3 linked regions of the Mus musculus genome follow. The protein of the gene in region 2 binds, or shares a complex with, the protein of the main gene of each other region. Links are inferred from orthologs where the notes say so. Each region holds a gene or a part of one and is shown on either strand. Other genes may lie near its edges.

The links.
Region 1: Kat5 (region 2) and Morf4l2 share a complex: the UniProt entries of both Homo sapiens proteins name them as parts of the nuA4 histone acetyltransferase complex. The link is inferred for Mus musculus from reciprocal best matches to the Homo sapiens genes KAT5 and MORF4L2.
Region 3: Kat5 (region 2) and Ing3 share a complex: the UniProt entries of both Homo sapiens proteins name them as parts of the SWR1-like complex. The link is inferred for Mus musculus from reciprocal best matches to the Homo sapiens genes KAT5 and ING3.

Annotation. Positions count from the first base shown.
Region 1 is NC_000086.7:136,732,440-136,735,546, forward strand, and holds the end of Morf4l2 (mortality factor 4-like protein 2), read right to left. Parts: 5' UTR 3,107-3,107; intron 2,063-3,106; 5' UTR 2,039-2,062; coding exon 1,172-2,038; 3' UTR 503-1,171; downstream 1-502. UniProt on the Homo sapiens protein: Component of the NuA4 histone acetyltransferase complex which is involved in transcriptional activation of select genes principally by acetylation of nucleosomal histone H4 and H2A.
Region 2 is NC_000085.6:5,607,210-5,610,960, forward strand, and holds the start of Kat5 (histone acetyltransferase KAT5), read right to left. Parts: upstream 2,886-3,751; 5' UTR 2,821-2,885; coding exon 2,809-2,820; coding exon of another isoform or gene 2,710-2,808; coding exon 2,643-2,709; intron 2,536-2,642; exon of another isoform or gene 2,323-2,535; coding exon 2,254-2,322; intron 2,164-2,253; coding exon 2,027-2,163; intron 1,776-2,026; coding exon of another isoform or gene 1,749-1,775; coding exon 1,593-1,748; intron 1,504-1,592; coding exon 1,429-1,503; intron 1,121-1,428; coding exon 1,046-1,120; intron 756-1,045; coding exon 507-755; intron 432-506; coding exon 342-431; intron 1-341. UniProt on the Homo sapiens protein: Catalytic subunit of the NuA4 histone acetyltransferase complex, a multiprotein complex involved in transcriptional activation of select genes principally by acetylation of nucleosomal histones H2A and H4.
Region 3 is NC_000072.6:21,966,549-21,970,199, reverse strand, and holds part of Ing3 (inhibitor of growth protein 3), read right to left. Parts: intron 2,574-3,651; coding exon 2,502-2,573; intron 1,316-2,501; coding exon 1,196-1,315; intron 923-1,195; coding exon 765-922; intron 287-764; coding exon 93-286; intron 1-92. UniProt on the Homo sapiens protein: Component of the NuA4 histone acetyltransferase (HAT) complex which is involved in transcriptional activation of select genes principally by acetylation of nucleosomal histones H4 and H2A.

The sequences.
Region 1 (3,107 bases), on a different chromosome or scaffold from region 2:
ATTAAAGCTTTGGGGCTAGGACCTGGGCATAGCTCATAAAAGAATGGCAAGAAGGGGCAATTAAGAGTACTTATCCTGGTGTAGAGGTCAGAACCACAGAAGTAGAGAACATCACTAACAAACCAGGCTGCTCCAAGTGTCACGTGTAAGCAATCTGCCCAGAGAAGCCACACCAAAGAGGGAAAATAACTTGACCTTAACTGCTACAGCAAGAATCTTTTAAAAAAGCTTTTGACTTTTAACTATGTGTCTGTGTGGTGGCATATACATGTCCACAGAATTACCTGAGATGGCCAGAAGGCACCAGATCCCCTAGAGCTGGAGTTACAGGTGCTTGTGAGTTACCAGAAACAAACTTGGGTCCTCTGAAACAGAACAGGCTGAGCAGTCTCTCCGGTCCAAGAAAGGAATTTTTCCTTTGAAAGCCAGTTTTCTTCTGTGCCACCCAAATACCTCGACCCTGTATTTGCTAGTCTCAGGAACATAAAAAGAACACCACACATTTTTTTTTTTGCTTTGAAATTTAGAAACAAGTTTTATTTAAGATCTGAAATACAATTCCTAAAATATCAACTTTTCAGAAAACTGTGGCTACACAATAATGCATTGCCTCTATCATGTTAGAACGTGCATTAGACTCAAATACAAAAACCAGGAAACAAATCACCATCCTTCAACAATTTGAGCAAAGATAGAATGAATGCCTAAGGAACAACAAAGATGGACTTGCAGAGGATGGGCTGTTTACAGACGTCAAGCACCATAAAAAAAAAAAAAGCACAAATGCATGGGTTTCCAGGTATATACATTAAGTTGAACCTTTGGCACTAGGAACCAGGGCATCTCATCACGTAGCATTAACACATATTAGAAAACTGTGTAGTGTCAAAGGGATAGAACCACCAGCATTCAAGCAATGTTGTCAACTAGGCAATAAAATGGTCTACTGAATTTCTTCTTTGTCTAATTACTGCATACACTGGTAGCAACTTTGAAATGAGGAAAGGAGCTGGGCACTCCTTTTATTTTCTGTCTACAACAGAACAGGAAAACAAACTGAAACATAAGCCCTGTTTTACACTGACAGTTTTAAAGAACATCAATTATACCATGAAAGGACTAAACAGAAGTGTTTACAGATACCAGACAATAGTGAGCGGTCAGTAGACCTTCACAGGGCTTTGCGATGATAGTCAGCAGAAGCCACTTTGTAATCACTGGCAGTAAACAGAGAGGCAGAATTCTTTGCCAGATACTTAAGGAAATCATGCAGATAGCCCAGCAATAATGCCAGGCTTTTCTCATCAAGGGGCGTATAGGCCAACATTGCCCCAATTCTCACGAATAATCTCAGGAGGTGTGGCGCCCCATAGATCTGCGACATCGGCGCATCAGGGTGAGCCAGCAGAATCTCAGCATACTGAGGCCTTTCAAACTTGTACAGCAGCTGAGTGCCCAGCATCACATTGAAATACTCTTTTATCCCTCCTACAACTTCATTAACTGCGTACTCCTTATTATCAACATTTCCCTGCGACTTCTTACAATTGGCATACTCCTCAAGAATGGCATCGACATTCTTTTTAGCAGGGAGCTGGAACAACTGCTTCTGCCTCGTAACCAAGTCCCAGTCCTCCACCAGCCACGGTTTTAATTCTTCAGGGATCTTCACCTTCACCTCCATCCTACTCTTGAATGCCTCCTCGCTCTCCACAGTGGGGTCAGCCCGTGCCCTTTTCTTCCGAGGGGGCTGGGGGACTTCACTGGTACTGCCTCCGTCTCCGTTGCCAGGAGCCTTCTGCTTGTTCTTCCTGGTCTTCCGCACAGAACCGGAAGGGGGGTTCTCAGCAGAGCGACCTCCCCATCTTCCGGGCAGGGCTGGATCGAGATTCTTTGGCTGCGAACCAGCTGACTTCTTTCCCGAGGCAGCTCCTCTCATCTTACTTCTCTGCATATTGCTTCGAGTTGGTTTCTTAAAGTTGTCTTCTTCAGCAGATTGTTGTCCACGAGTTTGAGAAGCCTGCTTTCTGGAACTCATTCAACCCTGTTTTTATTCCAACCACTGTAATACATAAAGTATTGTATTTGGTTGTTTACTATGGTGACTTAATGACCCATCAGACCACAACACATGCTAAAGTCTGTTGGAATATATATAGATTTTGGGTCCTATTGCAGAGGACCATCTGTAAGTGCTTTTCTGTCTTCTATCTCAAAATCCTCACTCCCACCCACAACTCTTGCCTCACCTAACAACTCAACAGACACACCCACAAATTCGTCTCTTGATGCTATTTAAAAGATAAGGATTTATTTTTAGAGAAAGATACTGTGACAAAACCATAGAAAAAAGCAGAGATGAAATCAAGACTTTGGAACAAGACTAAGAATTTGAAAGATATTTAAAAAAAAAGAATTTGAAAGAAATAAGGAAGTTGGAGGTAAAGTCTAGGTAGGCCTTGAGTACTGTGATGGCAACATACACAGACCTAACACCGAGGAACACAATGATCAAAGGTTAGAGTCAAAATGGGTTCTGTATGACTAAGCCCGGGTAGTTTTAGTAAAGTACAGAGTTTTAAAGAATTCGTTTGACACCATCAGTAAACAAGGCTAGTCCATCGATAGTTACATGCATAAAGGATCTCTTTTAGTAACTATTTGCTAGAAGAGATGAGAAACTGGGAAAGGAGTTAGTGACAACTTTCAGGCTTTAAGGATGGATGCTCTTGTATCACAAGTAAACTGCTTAGAGGAGAAAGGTACTTAGTTTTGGACTTTTATATCTGGAGAGTGCACTCAAACAGAGAAATGGAGATTTATTATCATGTAGCTTGAAGCATACACTATAAACCAGTGAACGTTTAAATAAAGAGAGAGAATTGCATACATAGAACTCCAGAAAAGATAGGGAAGAAAGTATTTGAGGAGTTAGCAAGAAAGAGACCACAGGTAAAATGGTGAGACTTTCATCGGAGAGTTAAGATTGTGACTTTAGAAGATAAAGAGGTTGAGTTTCAAGAGAAATAATGGTCAGTGAAAAGGAATTAAAAAACAAGCTTCCTGCTATGATGGCATGACTCATTCAACAATCCCCTTGACTTACA
Region 2 (3,751 bases):
TGCAACTCATTAGTCCCCTGACTACTCTTGAACTCGGGAGTTTTCTGAGTGCTGGGATTATAGGCACACACACCTCCAAGCTCTGATGACAGCTTCCTGTGAACTGTGCTGAACCCCCTCTGTTACTGGAACCTGAGTAGCTGTCATGTCTGCTCTGCCGTGACAGTGACCTCTCAGGAAAGAAAATTTCTCTAAATCCCAGTTTTCTGTACATTCCCTGCTCCGTGTCAAGAATTCAATAAAAACAGTGACCTGCTCATAGGCAGAATGGTCAACTGTTCTGAGCAGGAAAAGGTTGTTCATGTGACTCACTCCAGCCCAGCCGTGCCCAAGCCACTAACCTTGTTTTTCCGTCCATCAATCTCAAAAAAGGAGATGGTGCCCTTGCGGTAAATTTCATTGCCTGGAGGGTGCCGAAGATCACATTTGGTCTAAGGACAAAAGGAGGATCAGGTGGGGACTGGTGAGGGTACTCTGGATAGGCAGCCTCCCAAGACCCCTCATACCAAGTGGCGTTGCAGACACTTGAGGCTACGGCCATATTTGAGGCAAAATTCGCACAGGTAGAGGACGGGTAGCGTGGTAAGCTCTTGTGGGTACGGGGAGAAGTACCACGGCTTGAGGCGGTGCCGGCCAAGCTCAATACACTCAATGTTCTTCATCCGGGTGACAATGTCGTCGTGGCTCCGGTCAGACACCAGACTGCCAGTCATTCGTGGTGCTGACGGTATTCCATCTGAGCTGTCCTGAGAATCCTGCCCAAGGCAGATGGCAAATACTAGATGGTAGCAGTTAAGCAGAGCGTGGCGCACGACACTGCCATTGGCTTCTTCCTGCAAGTCTAACATCAGCTAAGGGCAAAGCACCAACCTCCACTTCCAAAATAAAGCGAGGCTGAGAAACTGAGAGTAGAAGAGGCCCAGGGGTTCATCTGCTTGGCTCCCAGCCACCACCCTCCCTGCCTAAGGCCTCACCGAGTGAACACCATGCCCAAGCCCACTCCCCCTTTCCCGGCTTCCCTCTCCCTCTGCTCCTCAAGACCCACCTCATCAGTGCCCAAGCAATTAGATTTCCGCTTCCGTCCAGGCTGGGCTGCCACTGCCCTACGGGCTGACCCATTCTGTGGACAAGACACAAGAGAAAGAGCGACCGTGAGATGATCCTGGAGGAGGATGCTAGACAGCAAGGAATAAGAGGGGAAAGACCAGGCAGGCTGTTGGGATGGCTCAGTGGTTAAGAGCCCTGATCTTCCAGAGGACTTCCTGGGTTCTTTTCCCAGGACCCACAGAGTGGCTCACAACCATCTCTAACTCCAGTTTCAGTGGCTCCAATGCCCTCTTCTGCCCACCTGCACCAGGCATGCAAGTAGAACACATGCAAAACACAGACAAAACATTCAGACACATGAAAAAAGACTGGAAGACTCACCTGAGGGAAAACCGAGGCTGGGGCTGTCTCGCTGGGCACTGGGGTTGCTGGTGAAACCACCTCCACCTTCCGTTTCTGCAGAGAGAAACCAGGAAAGGTGGGTCAGAAGGTAGAGAAGGTGGGACCTGAGAAGAAAGCAAGGTCCCTGGAATTGCTGAGGGTACCGTTGAGCGGTGGTTGGGTTGCAGGCAGGAGCTGGAGGAGAGCGGCTGGTCAGGCTCGCCACCTGGGATGGCCTCCCGCTCCTTGGGCAGGTTGAAGCGGAGTGTGATCTGGACCGGGATTGGCAAGGTCTTCCCGCTGGCCTGGGCGGAGGCCGGCTGCAGAGATAGGTCCAGGGTCTTCCTCTGGGGTGGGGATGGTGGTGGGATGGCGAAGGGGGGGATGGGCCCCTCAGCATGGAATCCCACCCTCTGCCTTCTCTAAAGCAAGGCAGTGCTGGACTCTGGAAGCTACGCCTGCAACTTGGTCCCCATCCTTTGCAAGCTGAAGCCATGGCAGAAGAATGCTGCCTCCTGCCCATTCAGGAACCCCTGAGGCCAAGAGATGCAAGAAGGAAGAGGCAGGAGAGAAAAGATGAAATGGGGGACCTACTCACCACCTCTCTTTCGGGAGAGCCGGGGCGGGACCCAGGAAGTCCGTTCTTGGTAGGTGTCTTGGCCTCTTTCTTGGGAAATTGGATCTTCTTTAAGTCCAGCCGCTCGTGAGTCACCCATTCATCCAGACGTTTGTTGACTGCAGCAGTGAAAACGGCTCAGGAGGGAATGCCAGAGGCTGCCCTCAACCCTCTCCAGCAACCCCACTCCATCCAGGCCCAGGACTCACAGTCAATGTAATGGACATAGAAAAGCTTTCGGCCACTGATGTCCTTCACGCTCAGGATCTCAGCCAGGGCTATGAGAACCACACAGACAGGGAGTCTTAGCCAGGGCAGGTCAGGAGACTCCACCCTTCGACCTGAATCCCACCTCCAGGCTGGAGGCCTGTGTCCCAGCACTCAGAGGGGCTGGTTCAAGACCCCTTTAGTCACCAAGTGACACCTCTCTCCAAGCCCCGCCCGGATCATCTCCGTACGTCCAAAAGCCACGCCCCTCCTCCCGAGTATCTGCGACCGCCCCGGGATTGCAGAAGCCCCTCCCCCTCCCGTGCGATCGTTGACTCCCTCCCGCCCCTCGCCCTCAGGTTCCTTGGACCCGCCCCCCGACGTCACTCACGCCACTCATCTTCGTTGTCCTGGTTGCGCCGCAGCACGGGCAGGCGGCAGCCCTCGATTATCTCCCCCTGGGGAGACAGCGCGGCGCCAGGGTCGGCTACTGGGGGGCCTCGGGCTCTACCCACCTCCCCTGGCTCCCTCCGCCCCGCCCCGGGCACCGGACTCACCACCTCCGCCATCTTCCCTCCCTCCACTGCCACTTCCGGCCCCTCTGGGAGACGTCACTTCCGGAGCTGAGTGCGCTATAGGCCCGAGCCCCTTGAAGCTGTTTGAAAGGGAAACACTTGAGAATCACTGCTAGCTGGTTGGTAGCAAAAAGCCGGCCCGTTTGGGGAATGGAAGAGCAGGACGTTGTAAACCTGAGGCCAAGTACTAGATGGAATCCCCGCTCCTCGCACAGCGATTGGAGGAACGCCGAGTCTGTCACGTGACGCCCACCGGGTGCGACGCCGGTCACTCAGATCATGTTTAGGCTTTGTCTAGAGGCAGTGTTCTGGCGAGCCTCTTAGTGGCAGTGTGAGGTGTCACCCTGAGTAAGAAGCTAAGGAGTGGGGTTTTGAACCCTGGGGAGTCAGTAGACCTGAAGGGATTTAGAGATCCACCCAGGTGTCTGCATAAGATTGCACAGGCCTGGGGGCTTAGCAAGATTTTTCCGTTAATACTGGATTTCTATTTTTAAAATAGTATATATGTGGCTGTATACATGGAAGGTTCAAAATTCCAGTAGGCATTCAGTCAACAAGAATGGATGTCTCAGTTGGTCTTCATTATACATCAGAATCCCAAAGAAGTAGGCGCTAATGACAGTGAAGGAGCGGACTTGTCAACGAGAGTGAGAGCAAGTAGGCAGAGTAAAAGCAGGCTGGCAGTGGAGGCAGAAGCAGGCGAAGCTCTATGAGTTGAGGCCAGCGTTGTCTACAGAGTCAGTTCCAGGACAAGCGGGGTTACACAGATAAGCCCTGTCCTGGGGGTGGCAGGGAGGAAAATCTTGTTTCATGTCTTTCTTTTAGTTTCCAGCAGAAGGTGCATCTTCTGACTTTGAATAACAAGAATAGGTTTGAATAACAAAGGTGTGTTCTCCCTCCTCAAAGATGTGAATTCAAAGTGGAT
Region 3 (3,651 bases), on a different chromosome or scaffold from region 2:
TGTACCCTGCTGTGGTTAATCCCTGGAGATGTATGGATACAGCTCCACACAACAACCCTGAACAAAGACACACACTGCCATGGGAAACTTACTTGCTCTTCCTGCCACTCCGCGAGTCCGTGGCGGAGGAACTGGCATTCTGGGTTAAGGTTGTCATGAGTGCCGATGAGGAGGAGTAGCCAGCTGTTTCTCTGGGTATGGAAAATTCTTTTCCCAGCTGGAAGTCATTGTTCTTAAATGCTTCGTAACTGGCTTTTAAACTCGATGTTCTTCGCCCTTCTTTCATCTTAAGTAGACATGTATTGACAACATCAATATATGTAAATATGTATTTTCTCTTTAAGTGTTACACGTTATGGTTATTTAAGTCATGGAAAAATTCAGAGTCTTTTTCATGCTAAGCTGAGAATAAACATGGGAAATAGAATGTCTTAACTCACACTATGTGCAAACCACAGAAATGAGCTAACTGCAGCCAACACAGATAAAAGCCCAATGGTACAGAAAGAGCAGATATTGTCCTCATGATGACAGGAAGGTAACTTGTGCACTAACTGGGAAAAGGGTCAACGTGATGGCATGATGCGTCACTCTATACCCAATAACTTCTCTGCATTATTACTAAAACACCAACTAGCCTAAAAGGGCAACTTCAAGCTCAAACTATATGATGTCTGAAAGCTCTGCTAACACCTAGTGGCTCCTACTGAGGTTTGCCAGTGACGGGAACCAATGTAGCACTTGCCTCTACCCACGACTATTACCTGTGCTGTCGCTTGCACGGCCTGTGCTGCCGCCATGGTGATGGCCCCTGCGCCAGCCCCTGAAGATAATGAACCAATGTTATAGGAGGCCAGGGGCTGGGACGAGTTCACATTGTAAGCATTGTTGCAGGAAGCTGTGGAATTATTGTTCCGACAACCTGTAAAGAAGAAAAAAAAATGGTTGCAGAGTACATAAGGTTTCTGAGATTGAAATAAATTATTTCCCCATATATAAAATTAAATTTAAATTCTTCATATACTTTAGGGATTGAATCAACTGGAAAATACAAGGCAATTTTCCTTTTCCTTCTTATCATCATGTAGACTTCAGAGGTAGCACATGTGTGGATTATAATCTTGAGCGCTCCTCTATCCCTTACTCCAACATAAACAAAACAAGCAAATTACCACTTTCGAGAAACGAAACTCACCCAGCGTGTTCTCCTTGGAAGCGTCAGATGTAAGGGTGGACAGCAGCGCTTCAGATTTGAATTTCTTCTCAGGGATATGGTCTGCTGCTGCATGGTGAGAAGTTGGATTATATTTCCTTTCTGAATAAAAAGAAAATTCACAAATTTCAAACTTCAGGGGACTACAGAGAGGAATACTTCCACCCCTTTATAAATCAGTACAGTTATGATCTCGGTTCCTTGTGAAATGGACCATTATGCTCACCAAGGAGGGGACAAGCAAACAGTCTTTGTCACGTGGTTCATGGAGAGAACAGACATTTCAAGCACTTTAGAAACTAGGAGCAAAAAACTAAAGACAATCCACGATGTACTACGGTTTCACATTATCACGAGAGAAAGTCCATCATAATATACTGCCTACCATTTAGAATAGCTTCCAATTTACCTCTCTTTCCTATTGAATTGACTTGTCAAAAAAATGTAGCAACCAATAATCCCCTTTCACTAACTCACTAATAACAAGATTTTATCACATGATAAATATCAGCTAAGCACTGGAAGGCAAGGCTGAAAGAAATGGGCCTACATGAAGAAGTGTATAGTTGGGTCAGTCGTACCACTCCCTAGATCTGTTTTATATCTGTTTCTGCGCTGATAGAACAGACTTCCTGTTCCCAAATTAAATATATGTTGCTTAAATGGAAAAGTCTACACGTAAACTGTGATAAAAAGCCTATTGTTTTTCTTTTTTCTTTTATTAGGTATTTTCTTTATATACATTTCAAATACTATCCCGAAAATTCCCTATACCCTTCCCCCACCCTGCTCCCCTACCCACCCACCCCGATTCTTGGCCCTGGCGTTCCCCTGTACTGGGGCATATAAAGTTTGCAAGACCAAGGGGCCTCTCTTCCCAATGATGGCTGACTAGGCCATCTTTTGATACATATGCAGCTAGAGACACGAGCTCTGGGGGTACTTGTTAGTTCATAATGTTGTTCCACCTATAGGGTTGCAGGCCCCTCCAGCTCCTTGGGTGCTTTCTCTAGCTTCTCCATTGGGGGCCCTGTGTTCCATCTTATAGATGACTATGAGCATCCACTTCTGTATTTACCAGGCACTGGCATAGCCTCATACGAGTCAGCTACACCAGGGTCCCTTCAGTAAAATCTTGCTGGCATATGCAATAGTGTCTGGGTTTGGAAAAAGCCGATTTTTTAAAAAGGGAAAGGAAAGGACGTTTCTCATTTGCTTATGTAGAGCTAATAAAAGAGCACATACAGGTGACATGTACGGTGCTAAACTGTACTTGAGCCAGACTTACTTTCCACGGGAGTATGTGAATGAGCGTGGTGATTGTTCACTGGCTGCGAAGGAGCATCTAATTCCAAAGATCCTAGAGAGGGGACACAGAGACAATCCAGGATTAAACGTCACTATAGAATCTCCACTTAAACCAACCCCCAACAAGATGGCCCTCACATATGACTGCCAACCTCTGGCATATCACTTTAGACAGACATGTAGAGAGTTACTATCTTCAATTGCATCCTGAGCAGTCCTCTCTCTAAGGAGGAAGACTCACTTCTCAGTATTCACCGTAAGTACACAACAGCTCAAGATATGCTAATATCTAATTAGAGAATCTTTCATGCTGAGTGTCACACAAATAGAAAAAAGGACATTACAACTCTATTAATGGTGAGATCTAAAAAATTCAATCTAGTAACAAAATTGAAAGCCTTTTAATACGTTATCCTAAAGGTCTAGGTGATGGGGATATTACTGCATACAAAGAAATTCAATCACAAAAATTAACTGCAATACTGACAGTTCCAAAAAAGAGCTTAGGGCTTTGCTTGCAAACAGTAAAGGGCATAACCCCCAATCCCAAGCTTTAAAACACTTCTGAAGAAATTCTCTCAACTTATTAAAGATTCGTTGAGATACAGTGATGTCAGGGCAGGATGAACAGTTTGTATGTGACCCCGTTCCGTTTCCTGTGTCTGGGTCCTTAGTGGTTGTGTCATTAACTCCCTGAAGCAGTGAGGAGGCAGGCAAGGCTTACTCACAGCCACCAACAGCATTTCCAAAAGAAAGAAACCTTCAAAGGTAGTCATACAACATTTCATTTTGTTCCCCAGTATCTATTATCCTCAGATAGGTTTCCTCCGGAATAAAAGTATCACCAATAAAGAAGATAATTATGTGAAGCAAGGATCTACTTTTAAATTTAAAATTGCAATCCTTACTAACAGACACACGCCTGGCTTGTCCAGTTGACCTCACACGCCCCTGTAAACACAGCTTAGGTACCCTGTAGTCATGAAACCCACTACCTGGCAATAGAAACGAACTGGCTGGTGAATGTACCAAGGAATGAGCACTGTTGGACCCTAACTGGACTGTCATAGAAATCACCCTGAGGACTAACTTGGTTCCCTTACCACTCAGTGACTACCTCCTCTGACCCT